2 linked regions of the Tamandua tetradactyla genome follow. The protein of the gene in region 1 interacts with the protein of each later gene in a biochemical or structural test. Links are inferred from orthologs where the notes say so. Each region holds a gene or a part of one and is shown on either strand. Other genes may lie near its edges. The genes, in order: SETD1A and WDR82.

Region 1 (11,904 bases):
CCCAGCCGGGCTGGGCCCCCTGGGCCCCGGGTCTGTATAATATGGTTTGCTATAAAACTGAAAATCTTCCAGCCGGGGCCGCGGAGTTCGTGTGTCTGTCCGCGACGTTGGGGATAGGGCGAGGGTGGCAGGAGTGCCCACGTCCAGACTAAGGAAGGGTCTCTGGATGGGTTTGGGGTCTAGGACCTCCTACGTTCCTTGCGGTCCCGGTAAATAGGTTGGCGGTGCCTGGACTTGCCTTCTTAGAGTTCGCTATTTAGGGAGGGGCTATGGAATCGGAGCACCTAGGGATGGCCAGGTGGACTTGGGCGGGGACCGGGCACCGAGGCTCGGGCATCCCCACTCAATGAAAGCCTGAGGCCGGCGTTTCACCTCGGTCATTCCGGCCCCTGGGTGACATTTTAAGTGGACTGGGGTACCGAGGCCCCTCATGGTATCTCCTAACTGGCCCGGGACTGGAGGGGCTCACTAGGCCCCCTGACTCCACCCCATCATGTGGCCGCCGCGGCTCCGCCTCCGCCCCAGTTCCTGTTTCGGCCTCCGCTGTCCTGCTTCGGCCCTTGAGGTTCCCCGCCGCCGCTTCTTCCTGGGCGCCCGCCGTCCGCATCCCCACTCGCCCCGCCCGGGGATGGGGCCTCCCTCGGGTTCGGGCCGGCCCTCCGGGGGCCCCCGAGACGCCTCGTGACCGCTTGGCCTACCTGGTGTGGCCGCCCCCAGGATGAAGGGCGGCGAGGGGGACGCGGGCGAACAGGCCCCGCTGAACCCCGAGGCCGAGAGCCCCGCGGGCTCGGCCACGTACCGAGAGTTCGTGCACCGCGGCTACTTGGACCTCATGGGGGCCAGTCAGCACTCGTTGCGGGCGCTCAGCTGGCGCCGTCTCTACCTCAGCCGGGCCAAGCTCAAAGCCTCCAGCCGCACGTCTGCCCTGCTCTCGGGCTTCGCTATGGTGAGGGGCAGGAAGGGGTTGAGGTGAAGCACATAAGGGGAGGGCACAGGGTCGTGGGTAAAGTAATCGGTCCCCGTGGGGGACAGGTTAGAGGAAAGGTAAAGCAGGCTTTAAAGGGGGAGGGGGGGGCAAAAGGTCCCAGGGGCCACACAAGTGCCTTTTCATGGGTGGCTGGGTTTGTGTGTGTCAACAGGCTGCCGGGAGCATAGGCAGATCACCAAGGGGGATGAATATGCAGCAGTAGGGCAAAGAGGTTCTTGAGAACCTGCTGGCAGCGGTAGTTACCCAGATTCCTAGGGGCCGGAACAATTAGAGTTTCTGGGCTATGCACAGGGCTGGGGGTGGGGGAGAATAAACTGGATGGAGGGGTCACCCACGAGAGATGGGCCCAGTCCAGGGAGAAGGGCTACTGCCCAGCAGGCACAAAGGATGCTGAACATGTCTCAGGAAAGCTTCGAGAAGGGACAAGCCTTGAGGAAGCCGCTGGGGAAGGAAGCTGATTAAGGAAGCTGATAAATGATTCCCGAGCTGATATACTTCAGGTGTGGGTGGATGCTAAAAGCTAACGGTCCAGCCTGGACCCACAGGAAGTGGGGCAGAGGGAGGTCCCAGGGCGAGGAACCAGCAAACTGCAAACTGAGGTCCTGCCTTCCCCCTGCCTGTGGCCAGCTGTGTGACCTGAACAAGCCTCCACTCCCTCAAAGACCAGTGGGAAATCTAGTGAGATCATGGCAGGTGTGGCCAACATAGCCTGCCAAGTACCAACCTGGGGATGAGCTGTGATTCTTCTTACCAGGAGCCCTAGATCTGAGCAGATCAGAGCAGGACACATGCCAGAGATGGCTCAAACTAACCTCAGTTCATTGGACAGGCCCCGAGTGGGGCAAGGGTTCTGCCAAGGGCACTAGCAGTGAACTAGGACCCAGGGTCTCCACCATTATGACAGGGAGAGACGTGGGATGGAAGGGGTGGACCTCTTGGGAAGGTGCTTTAGCAGGGGAAGGGGAGATATGGAGATGGGGATAGAATCAGACAAGGTGGGTGTCATGGCACTAAGTGATTTGGCTTCATCCCTGCCCTTCTCTGTGTCACAGCTTCTGTATTTGAACAATAACAGAAATCTCTTTCCCAAAGGTCATCCTCGGTCTATGGTTTTCTGTGTAGGAGCTCAGGATCCACAGGCCAGCCTACCCTTCCTGACGGGGTAGGGTGGGGGGGTTCATCTGGGGACAGAGTTGACTCCCCTCCATTTACCCATATATGGACCTCACTGGGGGAGGTCCCTCCCACCACCAGCCTGATGGTCCAGCCAGTTCCCAAGGGGACAATCTGGCCTGCTACTGGATTTGCAGGTTACTGGGGTGACAGCTTAAGGGGCATGGCCTTCTTTGCAGAATCAAGAAGAAGCCAGATGTGTAGGTTCTGGGAGTAGAACTGGCCCCAGTCCTGGCAGGGGAGAGCAAGGCTGGGCCAGGCCCTGGGAGAAACCAGAACTAGACCTGGCCCAGATCCCATTTGTGGAAAATACCTGTTGATACCTGCTATGGCCCAATTTCCCAAAATATTCAGCCCTGTCTTCTTACTACACCTTCCCCCAGCCCCAGAGCAGTCTAATGGACCCTACAAGAACCAGGAATGGAGAAAGAACCAGATCCTGTAATCCAGTTAGCCTGAGTTAAAATGAAATTGTATTGAATAGTCATTAAGTACCAGATACTGGTCACAGGGCTTTTATAGGCATCATCCTTCTATTACCTTTTGAAGTAGGTACATTGTGGCCATCTTGCAGAGGAGAAAACTGAAGATCAGAGATATTAAGACATCTGCCCAAGGTCCCACAGGAAGTTCAAATTTATAAAAGTCTAGAATAGGGTCATCAGCTCTAATGTTTACAAAGGCCGGGTAGGTAACCTGGATGCCAGGTTGGCTGGGGGTGGGGGTGGGAGGACTGTGGCAATCCAGGGACCCCATGACTTGCCCAAGGGGAGCAGCCATGACTCAGCTCCTGCAGATAATTGCCTTGTAGCAAGGTGGATTTGGTATGGCCAGATCTTCCAAATTTTCAAAAGGATCTGGAAATAGGGATATTTATATGGAATCTCTTGAGTTTTACAAGTTGGCAATTAATTGAATTCTTTTAAAAAAACATGCCGTGTGAACTAAGCAAAACATGTCTGCAGTCTGGCTTTGGCTCAAAGAGTGCCAGTTTGCAACCTTGGGCTGAGGACTATCAGACTGATGAGTCTGATAATAGCAAATACAAAGCAACTGCTGTATGCTCACCCTATTCTTAGCACTGTGTATTATCTCTGATTTTCACAAGAACCTGATGCAGCAGGTTGGTACTATTATTTAATCCCCATTTTCCATTTGAGAAAAATGAGGCACAGAAAGAACTAAGTCACTTGCTCAGAATTACACAACTGATATTGGTAACTAGGTGGCCCAACTCTGGAATCTGTGCTCCTTAACCCCAAAGTTATACCAAGTTAGAAACAGACCATCCAGCCCTCTCAATAGCCAGGGTGGAGGAGGGTACAGAAACTGAGCCCAGGACAGGACAGAACCTTGCCAAGGCTGCCATTCATTCATTCAGAAAGATTAGGTCCCTGTTTTGTATGCCAGGCACTCTTCTAGGTTATAGGGACACAATGATGAATAAAACAGACAAAGAATTCTCTTCTGTGGAAGAAGTCATGAACACTCAAACTAGCTCCTCTTGTCCCACAGGTGGCCATGGTGGAGGTACAGCTGGAAAGCGATCACGAATATCCACCAGGCCTGCTGGTGGCCTTCAGCGCCTGTACCACCGTCTTGGTGGCTGTCCACCTCTTTGCACTCATGGTCTCCACATGTCTGCTGCCCCACATAGAGGCCGTCAGCAACATCCACAACCTCAACTCCGTCCACCAGTCGCCACACCAGCGACTCCACCGCTATGTGGAACTGGCCTGGGGTTTTTCCACTGCCTTGGGCACCTTCCTCTTCCTCGCTGAGGTTGTCCTGGTCGGCTGGGTCAAGTTTGTGCCTATTGGAGCCCCTGTGGGCACTGCAGCCCCTGTGGTACCTGTTTCCCAGGTGTCTGGGACTCTGTCACCAATGGCCACCTCCCTTAGGCCAACTTCCAAGCTCCCACCATCCCCTTCTGTAGCTCCATCACAGGCTGGGCCCCCTGAGCCCTGCCTACCCAGGCAAGTGTGTGGTACTCTTGGGGCCCACGGGCCAGGCTGGCAAGCAGCCATGGCCTCCACGGCCATCATGGTACCTGTGGGGCTGGTGTTCGTGGCCTTTGCCCTGCATTTCTACCGCTCCTTGGTGGCACACAAGACAGATCGCCACAAACAGGAGCTAGAGGAGCTGAGCCGCCTGCAGGGGGAGCTGCAGGCTGTGTGAGGCTGATGTTAGCCAGGGCTGTAAGCACTGCCTCTCTCATTCCCACCCTGGCTGTAGCCACTTCCTGTGGCCACTCTCAGGTAGAGACCAGATTCTGTCTTAGGAGTCCTTTGGACTGGGCCTTAGGGCAACTCCCACATTCCCAGAGATTTTTGCTCTTAGTCTGTCATACACAGGTATCGTAGGTTATATGTGACACTTGGGCTGGTCATGGGAGGAAGTAGAAGGGTCTCAGTCTCTGAGGCTCATGCAGGAAGTAGAAGGGAGGCAGGGAGACCCTGGTTGGAACCTTGGTGCTGACCCTTAGCTACTTACCCCTGTGCAAGGTGGGGAGGTCAGAAGGTTATATACCCACCCAGCTGTCTCAGAAGGGAGACAACTCTTGCTTTGTTTTTGTGGAATCTACCTTATGGTTGGCATTTTTGGAGAAGCTTTTTCCTATCCCGATTTTGATGAGTTCCACACTCTTGCTTTAGTTGCTGCAGAGGGATTTGAGTGTTTCTACTCCAGGAGGAGCCTCTCTAATTCTGGAAGTCTAAGCCCCCACCCCCACCCCACTGTGGGGGCCCATGGCCACATACAAAAGGGTCAGGGCCTGCCCCACTCCCCTAGGTATGTACTTGTGCTTCCACATCTGGTTCTCACTCTCCTGGGTTAGGACTAGGGGGTCTTTGGAGACCAAGGGTCTTTGTGCCTGGTCTGACTCCCTATCGAGGATTGGGGTGAGGAGGAAGGATGTCAGGTTATAAAGGAAAAGGTCCAGTTCCTATCCTTTGGAATGCAAAGCTACTGACACTGAATTTTTGACGCACCTTGTTTTATATAATAAATTGTGTTTCACAGATGTCCCTGTAGCTGTGAATGGGGTGAAGGGGAGACCTGTTGGAATTGGATGACTTGTTCATGAGAACCAGGTGGAGGCTAGGGTACCCAGGGGTGGGGTCAGTGCCAGGAGTGACCTCATCTGGTGCTGGAAGGGGCCAGCAGCTTATGAATGTGGAAACCAATTTATTCCAAAGGCCAAGGAACTCTCATTCCTATGAGCTGAAGGTGTCCACCTCTCACATTGAGGATTTAGAATAAGTTACTTAAGTGACTACTACAAGCTAGAGGATTTCCACAGGTTATCTCATTTAAACCCTTACAACCACCTCAAGAGAGGAGTCTACAATCATCGCCATTTCAGAGATAAGGAAAATGAGTCCCAGGAAGGCTCGGCATCTTGCCCAAATTGAATTGACTCGCCTTTACCATCCCTTGGGAAATCTCTTTGACTTGAAAAAAGCAGCCAGGCCCTTTCAACTGTGCCTCCATTAAAATAATTTTTTCAGCCTTATTTTCCTAAAGAATTTAAAGGGCCCCAATCCTCTCTCTTCTACTCTTGTGGTGCATGGCCTTAGACAAATTCCCTTGTCCTCTTAGTTAAAGTGGTAAAACTGCATGAACCAGGCTCCAAGGTCTTTTCAAGCACTGTTCTGATGCCTACCCTAGTCCTGTGTGACAGGAATGAACATCCATTTTTAGAAGACTGAAGCTTAGAGAGGTCAATGACTTACCCAAGGTCATAAAACCAGGGAGCGATGTAGACATGGCTGGACCTCAGGGCGACCTAAGCTCAGGCAGAGGGGTCTCGTGGGAGTCCCGGTTCTCAGACACGAGAGTGCCTGGGTTCAAGAGAGAAAAGGGGGGGGGGTCCCGACACTGGGCAACCCTAGCCCGTTTCCCCGATGTAGACCTGGGCTGGTGCTGCCCTCGAGCGGCCGAACTGTGTGAGCAGCAGACTCACTTCAGTGCCGACTGAAGAGACGGGCACTCAGATCATGACGCCTGGAGAATAGGTTAGTCCATCCCAGTTCCTGTAGGATCTATTCCAGTATTTTTGTAAAGGACACGTTTAAAGATGTTCAGCCCGAACAAGCTTTTTCAGAGACCCTTTTGAGGCAGCCTCGGATTTGACCACTAACAGTGGGGCTGACCCGTGGCAAAATGCGGTCTCTCTGCAGGCCTCAGTCTCCCCATCTGTCAAACGGGGTTCCTAGACAACTAGAGGTCCCAGAGACATAACGGGAGAAAAACACTCCCTGCATTCTGTGCGCCGCCAGGCAAACGGCCTGAGTCACCACAGCTTGGTTGTATTTTTCCACCTCCCAGACGCCCCTCCCAGCCCGCCCCGGTTTTGGTGGGTCCAACAGGAAGCACCCCTGAAGCACCGGGCTCCGCAAGCTCTGGCCACACCCCTCCGTGCGCGGCGCCTTGGCTCCGCCCACAGTGGGAGCAGCAGATTCGCTAGGTCCGCTCCTCAACATTGCTCCGGCCCTGTATGCTCGGCTGAAAATTTTCATCGGACTCCAAGAGGAGCGCTGGGCCGAAACTGTTCCCTTCTGAGTCGAAAGTGGACTGCCCTCTGAGTTGTCCTAGTAAGAAAGATCCAGAAAAAGTGACAGACGTGCCAACAGGGTGGGCTAACCGGCGTTATTTTCATGACTCCGCCAAGGAGGGCGAAGGGAGGTGACAGCTGAAGCCAGGATCCGTGGCGAATCTGCGGGCCCTTAGCCCATTCGCCGCGAGAGAAAGGGGCAAGGAAGAGGAGCAAAGGAGCGCTCATCCTGTCCACCGATTTGCCCCGCCCGCCTGACGAATCTGCGTCTGTTCAACGCGCCACTCAAACCTCCCCAGCTCTGGCTGGCTTCTTCCCCCTCCGCCCCGCCCCCTTTTCCTCAGGGACTAGTCGCAGCTTTCGTCGCCGCCGATTCGTCAAGGGACGCAGGCCGAAGCAGCTAGATAGTGGTGGTGAAGCCCACTCTCCGGGGAATGCGGCCGATCTCCAGGCTCCCTGGGCCGCAACTCCCGAGCCTTACAGGGTGCCGGCCGAGACGAGGCCGCTACCCTCGGCCCCGTGGGTCTCCCGGCGGCAGCCGTGGCGAAAGTGCAAATGCAGACCCTGTGCCCGCTGGGCCTCGTGCAGGTGGCGGTGGTGTTTGGTGCGCGCGCCGGGGAGGTGGTGGTGGTGGGGGGGCGCCGCCGCCGCCACCGCTGCGGGGCCGGGTCTCGCGCTGCCGCCGCCGCCTCGCGCCGCTAAGGTGCTGCGCGGGGTGGGGGGAGGGGGAGCCGCTCGCCACGAGCGGGTGAGTGGGGCCGCGGCGCGCGTGCGCGGAGTCCGGGGGTGGGGGGGCAGAGCGCGCCGGGGCGGGAGAAGAGGGCAGCGGCGCGCGCTCCCCCCACCCCCCTGCCCGGATTCGGGGCCGAAGCCGGGTCTCGGGCTCGGTCTCGCGGTGTTTCCAACGCCCCGAAGAGGTGCCACCTCTCCGCCAGAGGATCGGGGCGCGGGGACGAGAGCGGGTGTGTGGGAGCGGGAGCCGGGCTTGGCCCGGGCCGCTGGCCGGTGAGGAGGCGGGAGGGGGCGGGGCCTACTAGGGGGCGGGGGAGGGGTCTTGCTCCGAGGCCAAGTGGGGCGCGCGCTAGGGAGAGCGGGAAGGTAAGGGGGCGCGAGATGGCCCTGGGGGCCCGAGGGGAGAGTTGGGAGGTGGGGAGAGAATGGGGTGTTGTGGTGAAACAGTGGGTACCTGAGGGTAAATCTGGGAGAGCCACGAGTGTTGGTGAGGTGTGGAAACAGGGCTAATGAGAACCTGGAGTCTGAGCTAGTCGGTAAGGGGCTGCAAGACAGTCAGGCCTAAGTCCTGAACCCCTTTGCGTATTTTTCTTTACTAACAGTGTAAATGAGCAAAGATGGATCAGGAAGGTGGGGGAGATGGGCAGAAGGCCCCGAGCTTCCAGTGGCGGAACTACAAGCTCATCGTGGATCCTGCCTTGGACCCTGCCTTGCGCAGGCCTTCTCAAAAGGTGTATCGCTATGATGGAGTCCACTTCAGTGTCAACGTGAGTGCTTAGGCCTTTCCTTTCCATGTAGGAAACTCCAGGCCCTGGCTCTCTGTTACCTCTGTCCAGCATCTAGAACTCCTGGAGCCATAGCCTGCCTTCTGAAAAAAATGGGCAGTGCATATATGTCTCCAGATGAGCTTCCTAGAGCTCAGCAATCTAGTTTCATGTTAAGCTGTCTTTTCCTGCTTTCCTTCCTAGGACTCAAAGTATATACCAGTTGAAGATCTCCAAGATCCCCGTTGCCACGTCAGGTCCAAAAACAGAGACTTTTCCCTCCCTGTCCCTAAATTTAAGGTATGTGCCTGCTAGTCTACTGGTGTGGTAGTCCTTGGAGGATGTGGAGGTTCCATCCTGACAGTCTGGTCATAAAGTAGCCTAATGGGAAGGGATTTTCTGATGAAAGGTGCACAACCAGCTCTGACCACCTCTGAGGCTCTGAGACTAAGTTGCTATGGACAAGAGGGATGCGTATCTTCTAGAAAGGTGTAGGTGAGGCTTCCCATGTATATCCTTGGTGGCAGCAATGTTCACTTCTTGAAGGATGAGGTAAAGACAGGCTGAACTGCTATTCTCATTACTAGACGGTGCATGGCATGACAGTGCTCTGTTTAGGTATCCCAGTTCCTCAACGGGGTGTGTGTGTGTGTGTGTGACAAGGACCTTGCTTCCCTGGAGTTCTGTATTTCACCTCTCCTTTGGTGATCTTCTTTCTTCTTAGCTCAAGAGGACTAGAGGACTCCCATTTCCCTGTCTAGTGGGATACTCATCAGGCCTTGAAATGGGCCTAGCAAACTGGTTCTTTAGTTTTCCTCATTAATTCTTTATTCTTCCTTCTTAAATAAATTGTTCTGGGGCTCTCTCACCCCCCCCCTCTTTTTTTTCTAATTTGTATACTTGCCCTGGACAGTCTCTTACATACCCACAGCTTTGACTGTTACCTAAATGTGGGTGACTTCAAAATCTGTTTCCAGCCAAGATCATTCTCTTGAACTCCAGGCTACATGCCTGTTACAGGGACAGTTCCATCTGGAGATCCCACAGGTACCTCAAATTCAAGAGGTTTATAACAAATGATCTTTAACACTTCAGTCCTTCCTTCTGTTTTCCCTCTACTGATGAATGGCCACAGCTTCCACTCAGGTGCATGAGCTAGAAACCAGGAGGCATCCTATGACTCTCCTGTCCTCTATAGGGTGTCCTCGCCAAGAATCTGTCCCCATGCCTTGACATGTGTCCTTTCCATCTTCAACTCTCCTGTTGCTGTTTCCTTAATGCAAATCCTTGTATTTATTTCACTTGGTTTCCTTAACTCCATTCTCACCTCCAGTTCACACTCCACACTACTGTCACTTATTGCTTTGATTTTCCTGTTCTCTTACTTTCCCTTTGTTGCTCAGTCTCCATTTTTGAGCACTGATGTCTATGATTATTGATCTGGCTCCAGTTCAGCGCCTGTCTTAACACCATGCTCCTGTGTTCCACCTATACCAGACACTTTGTAATTTCCAGAAAATGCCAAGTTGTCTTATGGCTCCATGTCCTAGAAATTCTTGTCATCTTGGTAAGCTTCTGTTTATTTGAAAAACTCCATACAAATGGCACCATTTTTATGAATCCTTCCCTGACTCCATTCCAAACAAAGGTTTCCTTCTCTTGGCTCCCAAATGCACTTGTCCGCACCTCTGCTCGCACTTGTCGCGTCACATTGTCATTGTCTGCATCTATCTGTTTTATCCACTCTTCTGAACAGGAGTCACTGTTTCTCCATTTTCATATTCCTAGTGCCCAGGCCTTGGAAGTCACTTAGTAAAATATGAGCAAATGAATTATTTCCCTATGACTTGCTCCTTCCACGTATGTTTTTTCTTCGTTTGCACGTTTCTTTTCTTGGTTCTTGCCATTATTCTGTGTATCCTTTAGCTGTGGCTCTCTTTATGATATTTCTCCCAGGGCCCTCAGTTTCTCAGTCCCATTTCTATTGACCTTGTGGATCTAAAGTTCCCTCTAGGGCAAAAGAACAAGTTTTGAAACTCCAGGCCAACTCCCTTCCTCTCCACAGCTGGATGAGTTCTATATCGGACAGATCCCACTGAAGGAAGTGACCTTCGCGAGACTGAATGACAACGTGCGGGAGACATTCCTGAAGGATATGTGCCGAAAGTATGGTGAGGTGGAAGAGGTGGAGATCCTTCTTCACCCACGTACTCGCAAGCACCTGGGCCTGGCCCGTGTGCTCTTCACCAGCACTCGGGGAGCCAAGGAAACAGTCAAAAACCTCCACCTTACATCTGTTATGGGCAACATCATCCATGCCCAGCTTGACATCAAAGGTAAGGACTCCTTTGCCCCCTGTCTAAAGTTAGTCTCCAGCAGAGGTGGTATACTCAGATACCTTTGGGGGCCAGGCAAATGATCACGTTCACAATTTCTTATCAGAAACTCTTGAGGCCAGATGTCTTTCAGAAATGGGTATTTTTCCAGTTTTGGTAAGGGGTGTGGTATGTATGTGGTCTTTTGCCTGTTATTTCCAGCAGGGTCTGGGGCAGCATCCATGGCCAAGTACTTGACTCTATCTGTAAGAATATGTATAAAGCGTCACACTAGATAGAAGACTAGTAGAAGTAATAAATAGTAAGTAGCCTCAGCTCAGGTCAGGTTTTGAAATCAAATTCCAAAAAAATACCAGGTTTTTGGTTTTTGAACTTTTGGATACAGAATTAAGGATCTGTCTTCATCTGGGGCTTCTGTGATAAGGAGCAATAGGGAGAAGTAGGGACTATGGTGAACTGTATGTAAATTTAGTCCCATCTAAAGAGACAGCTTCTTTAGGCAACAATTTACAATGAGGACTAATGTTGCCAAGTAATCTAATTTTAAAAAAGAAGCCAGAAATACAGATTTTTGTGTGAAATTTCATGGTTTTAAATACTGGTTCCCTCCAGAATTTTTGAAGTCATTGCAAGTAAAATACCACTGTGGGCTGCTTTTAGCCGTCAGGCAGCCATTTTGCGTCTTTTATAGGAAAAAGAGCATGGTGAGAGTTAGCATCAGAAGGCCTGGGTTTGAATTCCGGTTCTGCCACTAAATAGATTTGTGACTTTGTGCAGGTTAGTTTCCTTTATTCCTCTAAAATAGGGACACCAATGATTTTCTTCCTTGTGGTCATCAAGTATAGTAATATAAGTAAAGATGTTTTTGTAATCTGAAGTGTTATACAGTGTGTTTATGGTATAAACGTATACCATATGTTATTAGGGACAGGCTATAAGATCCCAAAGATAGAGATAAGATAGAAGAACTAAATCTCCAAATCTAAGACTCCAAGAAATCGTAGGAAACGCAAAGCCCGACAGAGAAGGAGAAATATCAGATTAGGAAGAAGCTGTGTTGTCTGTCTGACCCTGTTGGTTCCCATTTCTCTTCCTCCAGGACAGCAGCGAATGAAGTACTATGAACTGATTGTCAATGGCTCCTACACCCCCCAGACAGTGCCCACTGGGGGCAAGGCCCTGAGCGAGAAGTTCCAGGGCTGTAGTGCAACCCCTGAGACGGTGAGGAGTTTGGGGCTACCACAGCCCTGGCGGTGTGGGCATGGCACCTGGGTGCCAGGAGCAGGAGCAAGAGCAGCCTTTGGGAGGTTCTCAGCTTTCCTGTTAAGTGCCGGAAGAGTTAGAAAAAGTGTCTGG
Region 2 (11,396 bases), on another chromosome or scaffold:
AGTAAGTGCCATAGATTCTGGGAATTGGAGGCAGCCCTATAGCTCTGAGCCAGTACTGAGCCTATGATGAGAAAGACTGAGTTCCTCTGCTCTGACAGGCATCTGGACCTTTAAGTAAGAGGCCCAGAAACTCAGGTCTCAGCTTACTTAGTAGTATCCCTAGGAGACCACCTTGAGTCTTCCATGGGCCAATCACTTGGGACAACTGAGGCAATACAACATTTAATTCAGGAGTGGAAAGAGTTACATAAATTGATATGAAATAATTGGTTTCTTTGCAAAAAATTATCAAACATTGTAATGTTCCTGGACTGGATCTAATAATGGAGGGGAAAATGTCCAAAAGGAGATTATTGGGACAACTGAAAAAAATGGAATACTTAATATGAATTGAATATTAAAGTTCGTGAACTTGATGCTGTACTCAATATAGTTACTTAACTGAATATCTTTGTTCATAGGAAATAAGCATGGGAATATTAAAGTGGTAAAGGAGCATGATATATGCAACCTGCTGCCGAATTTCAGCTTCCAGTTTCTTGGCCATGCCAAGAGAAAATAATTCAAGGGCACAACACAGATAGAGCAAGAAGGCAGAAAACGTATTGAGTACACATGCAGAAAGCTCATGTGGGCACTCTCACAAGATAAAGGGAAAAGACAACAGGTAATGTGGGGCCATTTGTAGATTAGCTTTACTTATTCCTCCTACCCCTTCCTAATTCAGGGCTTTTTCTTCTACCCTCCCTTCTCTCCAGGGTGGTGCCTGGTGGTAGTGTATTTGGTGGGTCTGTTACTGGACAAAAGCGGTGGATTTTTTGCCCAATCTGCTCAATGATCAATTCCTGAGACACCAAGGTTTCAAAGAGAGAATGCGTTTAGTAATAGGCAGGTAGTAGGAGAGCATATGGTCTATTAGCCCAAAATCTGTCTCCCAGAACTGCAGTAATTCTCATAGTTTTAGTAGAGAAAAGGATGGGCAGAGTTTAGGATAATGAGCACAGTGTCCCCAGATGATGTAATTACAGGTGATCTAATTATTGAGTATGTGCAGATTGATTACATGCTTAGAAGAATGTATATAAGAAAATGGTGGCCTTAATATGATGAAGGGTGTGATTTTTATAATGAGGTACAGGTGACTTGTAGGTTAACGTCTAAGCTACTGCACATGTCAGGTGGGCCCACTTTGGTTAGACCCAGTCTCGGTCATCAAGATAACTTCGGACTTGGGTGGGTTAGTTCTGGGCTGACCCAAGACCCTTCATTAATAAACAGTTGGGGCTGTCTTTAGTGATTGCAAGACTCTAAAGTTAAAAAACTGGATAAATGTGTACAAATGAAGGTTAGTCGCAAGGTTTTTACAATCACAGGGACAGAAGATAAAGGCTATAAAATCATTATCAGGTATCAAGGCAGCTGGATTATAATTTAGAGATTTCAGGTATTTCCCTACGTCTGTTCCAATATACCACAAGGCAAAAAAGGAATATTTATATAACGATTCAGTAATCGAAATCATCCCTTCAATCCTAATTTCTCAGTTACAAATCGGTGGGCTCTAGCCCTCTCCATAGATGGCAGGTTGGGGTCCTTTGGCTTCAGATGGGTCAGCTGCTGCTGTGTCTCCCATAAGTGGTAGCCCCAGGCAGACTGTCTGTGCAGGACATAGGCCCTCCTGACCTTGATTAAGGGCTCCTTCATGTTTTTTTTTCTCTCCCCTCTCTTACTGTTTTAGCCTGCCTCACAACCTACTCTCAAACATTTAGAAAATAGATAGACACATAGATAGAATAGTATAACAAATGTGGCAAAATGTTAAAAGTTGGTAAATCTGGGCAACTGGGTGGGGGATATATTAGAATTTTCCGTTATTTTTGCAACTTCCCTGTGTGTTATTTAAAAGTAAATTTTTTTTTAAATCTTTTAAAATGCTTTAAAACATATATTAATTTGATCATGGGGTTGAGGGGTGTGGGGATCCAGGGCCTGGGATTCCCCTTAATATTAAGAGGTACGTAGCAGCCTACATGACTGGTATAGATATTAAAGGCCATCAAACCTCCTGGCGGTGGGGAGAGGGGGGGAGAATGTACAGATGGTATCATAAACAAAGCATTTAAACTCCCCTCCTTTGATCACTGTTGATAACAAACCTCCAGACCCCTGTGTCACTAGGCCTTGCTGAAACTCTATTCTCATACCCTTGTCCTAAACTCTTAGAAGCCCTTGCACTCCCCTCGCCCACTTTGCGGAGTGCTAACCTTCAATTTTCCATGGCCAGCTGCCACCATGGAAGATCTTCTCCTGCCCGTAAATCCTAACAAACTCATGCCTAATTCCATGTCAGAAGTGTCCTTTAATCTTTGGGCTGCCCTGATCCAAGCCCTCCAAGAGCTGGGTTGGAACTGGGAGCAAGAAGCCAACAGAAAATATGTTTAAGTTAATTAAGCCATTGCTGGGTTGACTTTAACGCCAAAGAAGAAGTTTGTAATTTCCATTTGATGTAAAATATTATCTCCATTCATGGCCATCACAGTACATTTATTTCCTCTTGGTGGAGAGTGAAATGAAGCATTCATTTAGCAAATCGAGCAATTTTTCAGGTAAGGAGTATTTATGTGTAAGCTATGTGTGACAACTGAAACATGCTATACAAAATTACTGTGGGCTGCAACTGTATTCCAACATACCCCTTTCCTTTTTGGCAATTTAATTTCAAGTGGATGCTCCTAAAGAAGCTTTCCTAATGAAGATGGTCACCTGAGAGACCTGACTGGTAGGTCTGAGGGCTTTTATAAGAGGTTAATCAAGCTCCAGGGGTACCCCACGGGGCATTCCAAGTCAGAAATCTATCTCCAAGAATTGGTATTCATAAGGAACTCTCTGTTCTGGAGAGAAGATAAATTTCTTAGGACTGGCTCCAATTAAACTCGGTAATATGAAAAGCAGAAATGTAATAAATGGGCCAATAATATATCTGGAATCCTAAATTCACTTATTCAATTAACAATATATATTGAACCAGACCCTGGCTGGGCTCTAAATAAAATGGGAAGCAAAATTACTTTACAACCACATGCTGGAATACTATATAGCCATATATAGTGTAACTCTATATTTACTGTCCTGGAAGATGTTCCTATGAAAGAGTAGATTATAACTAATATCATATTAAGAACCCATTAAGAATAGATTTCAGGAGAAAAAGTTCTACATCAAAATGTTACAGTGGCCATCTCTAGATGTTTTTATTATTATTATTACTTACTTGCATTTTTAAGTTTTTCTTCAATTCATATGCATTTACTTGCATGAAAACAGTAAATGAATGAAACAATGCTTTAAAAAAAAAAGGAAAAGTAAAAATTAAGTCTGATACTCTTTGAGACATTCTGATTTACTTCTGGCTGCAGCTTCCCCCTCTGAACATCCTCCACTGGAGCCAGCTTTTCTGGGTCACTTTTTAAAGTCCAGCCTTTCAGGCAGCAATGTTGGTGGACTGGAAGTCTGGAACAGCTGGGCTATAGTAGGCAGGGAGCTGGGCTACGAATATGAAATAGTATCTGAATTAGTCTCCAGGCTGTGACCCATAGCAGAACACTCATAAAATATGAAAAAATGACTTTTTGCATTCCAAAAATAATGCAGGATGCCAAATCTTAGGAGACAGCTTTGGTCTTAACAGTGAAATCTGGAAAAGGTACAGTGAATACAAACTTGAAAGATATGCTGCAAAGATTTATTTTGGCTGAGAACATTGAGTAGGTTTCGGCTGTTTTTGTGGCTATATTCTTTGTAGGTTAACATGAGCCAAAATATGGCATCTTACTGAGTATATTACTTACCAACAGTTCCTGGACGTGGCACCAAATCTGTCTTATTGCTATCTAAGGATTCAAAGAAGGCTCTATATCAGCCTTTCTAGCCTGTAGATAAAGATGCAGGATTTTGCAGTGAAGTGAGTGAGCGAGTGCTCTGGGGCACCGAGAGCTTTTCTCCCATTGCTTTGCAGTTTGGAAAGTTGCCATCCATTCAGGTTTCCTTCAAACAGGCTTTTTCCTGACCCCAGAGCAAATTGTAACCAGAAGCTCTCTGCTCTTTGTCAGGAGGCAATTGCAGCCCAGACCTAGGCAGGATCTTACCCTCTCCCCTCAAAAAAAGATTTCTCCTAAGTAAAAATCCTGGCTCCTCTTTTACCCAGGAGATGAGACCCTAGTTCTTTCCAGAAAGGGCCCAACTGTCTCAGGCTTTCTGTTGTTTTTACTGTTGTCCGGGTTACATCTGGGTCTCTGGATATCAAATCTTCCTGATGTCAGCGACTAAAAGGACTCAACAGTCTTCCTTCTTTGTTTCTCTTCCTGTTTAATCACTGCAAGTTTACTAAAGCAAAATAAATAGGATCCACTACCATTGTCCAATTAACTATTTGTGAAGCAACAAGAGTTAGAGATCCTAGAATCTGTAATCGAGAAATTAGGATTTAAGGGATGATTTTTTTCAGTTTTTTAAAATTAATTTTTAAATTAAAAAAATACAAAAAAACACATTCTTAATTTATGATCATTCCGTTCTACATATATAATCAGTGATTCACAATATCAGCACATAGTTGCATATTCATCATCATGATCATTTCTTAGAACATTTACATCAATTCAGAAAAAGAAATAAAAAGACAACAGAAAAAATTCATACATACCATACCCCTTACCACTCCCTTTCATTGATCACAAACATTTCAATCTAAATTTATTTTAACATTTGTTCCCTCTATTATTTATTTTTATTCCATATGTTTTACTCATCTGTTGATAAGGTAGATAAAAGGAGCATCAGACACAAGGTTTTCACATCACAGTCACATTGTGAAAGCTATATCATTATACAATCATCTTCAAGAAACATGGCTACTGGAACACAGCTCTACATTTTCAGGCACTTCCCTCCAGCCTCTCCATTACATCTCGACTAACAAGGTGTTATCTATTTAATGCGTAAGAATAACCTCCAGGATAAAGTTGGGGAAGTTGAATTTTCCTTAAGGGATGATTTTGATTATTGAGTCATTATATAGATATTCCTTTTTGCTTTCTGGAATATTGGAGTAGAGAGGAATGCTTGAAATCCCTATACTATAATTCGGCTGCCCTGATACCTGAAATGATTGCAAAGGCCCTTATTTTGTGCCTTTGTGACTGTAAGAGCTGTTATCCCCTTATCTGCTCATTTTCTTGTAAGGAAAAAGCCCTAAGACTAATGAAAAATTTGAAGTCAGCCATTAACTACTTTCAGCGTCTGACATCTGTAAATAGTATCAGTTAGACTCTGCTATTGAAAGATAACTTGTCTCCCTTCCCTTTGGCTTACACCTTTAGTAGTGACATGATAGTTCAGCCTTCCTTCCTTTCAGCTGTTTTTTTTGAAATTGTAATGACCTCAGCTCCCCTTACTAAAATTCTTAAAAATTTTGAACCCCCTAAAATTGGGGAGACAGATTTCGGGCCGCTAGACCATCTGTTCTCCTACTACACACCTAGTTATAAACTCTCTCTCTTGAAACCTGGTGTGTCAAGAATTGATTATTGAGTGCGTAAGGCAACAGAATCCACAGCCTTTATCCAGTAACAAACTTGTAGTGATTGCACAGAGTTTAATCCCTTGAAGAAAATTAAAGCCAGAAAGCATGGTTCCTATTTTGTGATCCTTTACTAGAGATCAACTTTCCTTCCTTTTACAGCAAAAAATACCTTTTACAATATTGCCCTTAAAACAATCCCATTGACTACAAAGCTGGTAATGGAACTGTTGTATATCTTTAATATGGTGGTGGTTGGGAGACTTTTTGTGGGTGTCGAAATTCATAAAACTATCCAGTGTAAAGGAGAAATTTTTACTGAATCTAAATTACACTTCAATAAAAAACACCAAAACAATCCGATTTAGTAACGCAGGTAAATGAGTAAGATACACTACTATAGCAGGACAAAAATGGTTACTTCTATGTTTACGTGTATATATGCATAAGGCGAGCAAGGAGTCAGGAGAATTTAAAACTGCATTTTGTTGATTCAGGAGATAATTGTTCCTTTAAAATTTTTATTTGTAACTGACGCTATGCATTTTAGAATGTACGTTTTAAAGCTTAAATATAGGAGCTTTTACATTTATAAAACTGTATGGAGCTACACTTAAGATTAGTTCATTTCTTCTTGTTAAACTGTACTTGAAATTTATTACTTTTCTGTATATATGTTATATTTCACAATAAAAATGTAAAAAAAAAGATTAGCTCACTTCAACTCTTTTCATTATAACTCAATAAAAAGTTTTTTTAAAAAGCTTTGAAAAAGTTCTAGGTGGTGGTCAGAGAGTATAATCAAATGAAAAAAATCATCCACTTAAAATGTGGGCAGTTCACCTTACCTTATATCTCAATTAATAAAAAAGAAATTGAAATTCTTCGCTGGCGGCGGCGTCTTGGGCGAGCAGTCAGGCCCGCCCGCTATCTGCTCATCTGAAAACACCCCCAAAACTGATCTCCAGGGCAGCACCTGACACTAGCAGTGCTCAGCTTCCTCGTGGTCGGCGGTCAAGATGCCAGCAGGGGGCCCCCGAGTTTCTCGGGATATCTCAAAGCCCGGCACAAAATCCCTCGGCTGTCCCTTTGGTCCAGCAACTCACCGGGACACAGCAGCCACAGGCCGCCCAGTAGCTCCACTCCCAGGAGGCCACCCTGACGTCATCGCCCCGCCTCCCGGCCTTTCCCGCCCCACCCTCTTTCCCGGCGTGCACCACGGCAGAGGCTCCTCGCCTTCGGCTTCTGCCTGTCGTCCCAAGATGGTGGACACAATGAGCAGGACTCGCGCCGGTTGGCCCTAAGGCGACCGGGAGAAGAAACCGTCTGCACGTCCCCGCAGTCCGGGCAGGAGAGTACTGCACGAGTAGAAAGAGAAGGCGGCTTGACTGTCGCCTGTCCTCTCGTTCGTCGCAGGCGCGGCGCCCGCTCCGCCCAGGTTGGCCCCTCGGCAGCCCGCCCGCCAGCTCGCCGCTGGGCCCCGCCCCAGCCCTGCGCCGCCGCCTCCAGCAGCCGCCGCCATGAAACTGACCGACAGCGTGCTGCGGAGCTTCCGCGTCGCCAAGGTGTTCCGCGAGAACTCGGACAAGATTAACTGCTTCGACTTCAGCCCTAACGGCGAGACGGTCATTTCGAGCAGCGACGACGACTCCATCGTGCTCTATGACTGCCAGGAGGGCAAGTGAGTGCGGCGCTGGCCCTGGGCCCAGGTTTGAGTCCCTCCAGTGGCCCGGCTCTCGCCCTGCGGCCTTCCCTCCTCCTCGACTTCGGCTCTTGGCCTATTTTGCACTCGCTGCTTACAGGGGCGCCTGCAACGTGCAGCCGTCCGGGAGACCTTTCCTTTTCCTTCGTCTTTATTATTATTGTTGTTGTCAGTGTTATTTTGTCTGTTTTCGGTCTCCTTTTAGAGCACTTCTGCATCTTTTACCGAACCCCACCTTGACCTTGACCTTTAAAACGCCCCATCCCGCCCCCAGCAGGTAGAGTTTTCCGCTACCCTGGTACTGTCGATGGTGCCCATTGGCTCTGGCCCAGACACTGAACCTCAAAGAACTACTCCAGCTTTATTCTAGAGCATCACCTCTCTCTGCCCTCTTCTCGGTGACCTCGATCCAGCCCCGGTAGTCCACCCATTCTCTGCCTCTCAGCTTCCATCGGCCTTTCTACCATAAGGCCGCGTGGGTGCAGTTTCTTAGCTGTCAGGATTTCATTTTGTAGTGCCTCTTTGGGCCCCGGTCCTTCCCTTCCACTTCCAAGCCATTCTGTTACTCCCTCGGACCCGGTGTCCACGCTTATACTGAACTTTTTAACATCTGAAACTTTTTCTTCCTTTCCTGTTATTTCTTTTTGCCATAACACCAGCGAACTTGGCCGTCCCATCCCAATCTGAATGTGAGCCTCCCGTTAGAACAAAGAAAGCATCGTATAACAGTTTCGTGTTTCCTCTCCCACTTTTTTTCGATTACACTTCGTGGTCCACATAGAATGATCAAAATTACTAGTCTGATCTTGCAACTTTTATGCTGCCCCAGATCCTCGGGCGACCCACCACACCTGCATCTCTTGCAAAATCTTAATAAGCACAGCACTTTGCATTCTTCCCTGGGGCACCTTTTCAGCCTGGCTTCATTCCTGTATCCTTGGCTTTCTCCAGATCTTACTGACTTGTGAGCTCCTTTGGAGCCTTAAGCTAAATTTTTGAGTTTCCCTCAGCCATCTTCCCCAAGCAGACTTACTTTTAAGTCGGTGGTTACTGGTTTTGTCAGACCTTGTTTTGTTATCTGGATCCAGATATTTCTTGAATCTTTGGATTTTTCTCTTTTCCAGGTGTTCCTTTTGCCTCTTTCTTTTTTAAACAGATATCCCTAAACTTTTCTTTTGGAACTTGTTTCTTCATTTCTCAATTTGATTATTTAAAGTAGTGCGGTTTTGGTCTACCTAATTTTTTTCCCACTGGTCCTTGTGAGAAAGTATTTTGTAATTGGTTCTGGATCTGCCTGCAGTGTATGGAAGAGTGCCTGCGGTGGTGATCCTGAGGGAGAGGGAATTGTTACCTGGACCATACTAAGTTATTTGAGTCAGTGTTACTCATTTAGTAGATGGATTTCTGTGCAGGCCTGACCATTAGAAGTCAGCTTGAAAGAGGGAGTTTCAAGCTGGGGTTGGGGTTGGGATTCTAGAGTCTGGAACTAGAAGTAATTTGAAGCTGGCTTGCCTGAAATGTTAATTGCTTGTACACAGATTAGAACCTCTCCCTGGTACCTGAGGATGGAGGTGTATTCTGATTCAAAGGTAATGAAGGCTGTAGTAGAATTTAGTTGGTCTCCGAATGTGGTAAAATTTCGAATTGTTGGGAGGGATGACAATGGCATGAAGTTCTGTCTTGTTAAAAGTAAAATGCCAACTTTATGACAATGCAATATATTCCCTCCTAGCATTTTTACATAATTACAAACTTAAAGAAAAGTTACAACATTGATCAGAGACCTCCCATTTGATCTACCAGTTGGTTACATTTGTTCCATTTGCTTTATCACTCTATGTAAATATTTGTTTGTATGCATATTTTTTCCTGGGCTATTAGAGAGTAAATTGAAGTTATCAGGCCCTTTTATCCTTAAACACTTCACCATGGATGGCCTCAGCACCAGGACCTTGTCTTACAGAGCTGGAGCACAGTTACCTAAATTAAGAAATGTAGTGTTGATACAGTACTATAGGCATGCTTTTGAAAATTTTCTCCCATCAAGCAATTGTGGCCTTGTTTCATTATACTCTGTGGCATCAGAAACCTGGTAGTTAGGAAACTTGGGTTCTAGTTTGGCCTTATGACCAGCCATGTAATGTTGGTGAAGTCAATATCAGACAACCATTGCTTCCAAGGTCTCTTTAGTCTCTAGGAATTCATGATCCTAAGAGGTAATGTGAAGAAAATTTTTGCCACTAGTGTAGGTTAAATCAACATTGGATGAAAAGTAATGTTTCTTGGGAAGGCATAGTATCTTTATTAGGTAGTACTAGTGTTAGAATTTGGGAGTTTGAAAATGGCTAAAATCAGATTCTTTGTGCTTAATATTTTCCAGTTTAATGTTCATTTAATCTTTGTTTACAGTGGAGTTCATCCATTGAGTAATTTTTCCAACTTCAAAGAATATAAAGGATATTGTTTGTGGTAGGTAGTACAAATTATTTAAAGAGAAGGCTTTTATATTATTGCCTTATACCTGATTACCAGAATCATAGTTTGAGGTTAGGAGTTTACCCTTAAAAATTGTGAAAAAATGTGCATGGGCTTTGTAAAGGCCCCCTGAAATGGCTGCATTTAGGATCTTACTTTCAAATTAGGAAACGGGTTATATTAGGGAATTAACAGAATTCTGTTATTAGGAACAAATCTCAGATTAGCATTATTGATAAATTTGTGACAAATAGGCCACATCTAAATGGAAATGAAAACTTATGCCACACCCTTTAGGCTCTGTCCTCATTATTGTAGACAGGCTGAAATACTCTGGGGTAGGCTTCTCTTTCCTCTGACTCAAAGTCAGCTTTGAGTTGCACACACATACACACAGACACACACACACACACACACACACACCTCACTCACCTACAGCAGAACCCCAGATGGTAGACTCAGCGGTAGGCTTTGAGCTCATCTGCTTTTTTTTTTTTTTGAGTGCATGGTCTGGGAATAGAACCTGGTTCTTCCACATAGAAGGGGGGCATTCTAACCGCTAAGCTACTGTGCACCCCTGAGCTCATCTTTTTTTAGGGATGATGTAAGAATATGGAAAATCTGGCATATTTGGAATCAAGATTCTTTAGAAATAGATTTTATGTCGGGAAGCTTTGGCCTCATTAATATTAACAAAAACTGAAAGTGCAAAGAATTATTTACAAAATTGTTCAGTATTAACAAAAACTGAAAGTGCAGCCTGACTTCTTAAGGCTGCCTCAGTCCTCTGATTGTTTAGCTTCTAAATTCCAAGAGGATTTTACCTTGAAAAGGTGAACTTTTTCATAAATTGGAATTCTTGGTAAACATTGGTATGGGATTTATGAAATCCTTCTAGGACCTAAATGAAGAACATTATGTTAAATTCTTTCTTGTTTTCTGGCTTGGTAAATTATAGAGAGTCCTATTACTGAAATCTAGCTTTACAAAGTCGTTTGAGTGTGGGGTGGGGTTGCCTAACTTAAGCAGTGTGTGTGAAAGTTTTTGGTTAAAGATTTTGCTAAGATTAGTTTCATCCTGATCTTCAAGGTTCTATAGAGGAAGACACTAGAAGTGCTTCAAATAGATTGATAACCCCTAAGCTTGGTATTGTGCCCTTTTACTTTTAAGTAAAAAGAAAAGAACCCTTGATTAGTTTGCTAGGAAAGGTTAGGCTTACCTGCTAAAAGGCTTGGCAGGTGCTTTGGACCTGTAGGATAGGGAGGATGCATATGTTCTGCAAAAGTAGTTAGATTAGGAAAGGGGAAGCAGTTTTGCATCTGGTTTCAGTTTTGCTAAATCAGTGCCTTTTTTGAGGAAAGTGCATCTTTCCAAGTGAATAGCTTAAGAAAAAGTTCTTGTCTCTTTGATTTGACATATCTCTGCATATGTCTTTGTTATAAATTATGACTTATGTTGTTTGGGGTATCTTTCTTCCCAAATAGTTATATTTGTCTTGTTCTCAAAGCTTACTTTTGAACATTGCAGTAAAAAGTGAATTGAGCCACCCAGATTTACTGCTGTTTCGTAACCTCAGCATTAGGTGTTCAAAGGCAAAAACCTTCTTAGACAGCTGTTGCACTTGATTGATTCAGTGTGTTT

Evidence for each region.
Region 2: the proteins of SETD1A (region 1) and WDR82 form a complex in vitro, tested with the Homo sapiens proteins (2 studies listed by BioGRID). The link is inferred for Tamandua tetradactyla from reciprocal best matches to the Homo sapiens genes SETD1A and WDR82.

Annotation. Positions count from the first base shown.
Region 1 is NC_135349.1:23,546,908-23,558,811, reverse strand, and holds the start of SETD1A (histone-lysine N-methyltransferase SETD1A), read left to right. Parts: upstream 1-6,588; 5' UTR 6,589-7,265; exon of another isoform or gene 7,266-7,304; intron 7,305-7,383; exon of another isoform or gene 7,384-7,464; intron 7,465-7,535; exon of another isoform or gene 7,536-7,721; intron 7,722-8,050; 5' UTR 8,051-8,065; coding exon 8,066-8,215; intron 8,216-8,416; coding exon 8,417-8,512; intron 8,513-10,277; coding exon 10,278-10,548; intron 10,549-11,647; coding exon 11,648-11,769; intron 11,770-11,904. Other genes in the region: ORAI3 (protein orai-3), read left to right, coding at 3,677-4,339. UniProt on the Homo sapiens protein: Histone methyltransferase that catalyzes methyl group transfer from S-adenosyl-L-methionine to the epsilon-amino group of 'Lys-4' of histone H3 (H3K4) via a non-processive mechanism.
Region 2 is NC_135341.1:33,589,777-33,601,172, forward strand, and holds the start of WDR82 (WD repeat-containing protein 82), read left to right. Parts: upstream 1-6,785; 5' UTR 6,786-7,098; coding exon 7,099-7,259; coding exon of another isoform or gene 7,260-7,287; intron 7,288-11,396. UniProt on the Homo sapiens protein: Regulatory component of the SET1/COMPASS complex implicated in the tethering of this complex to transcriptional start sites of active genes.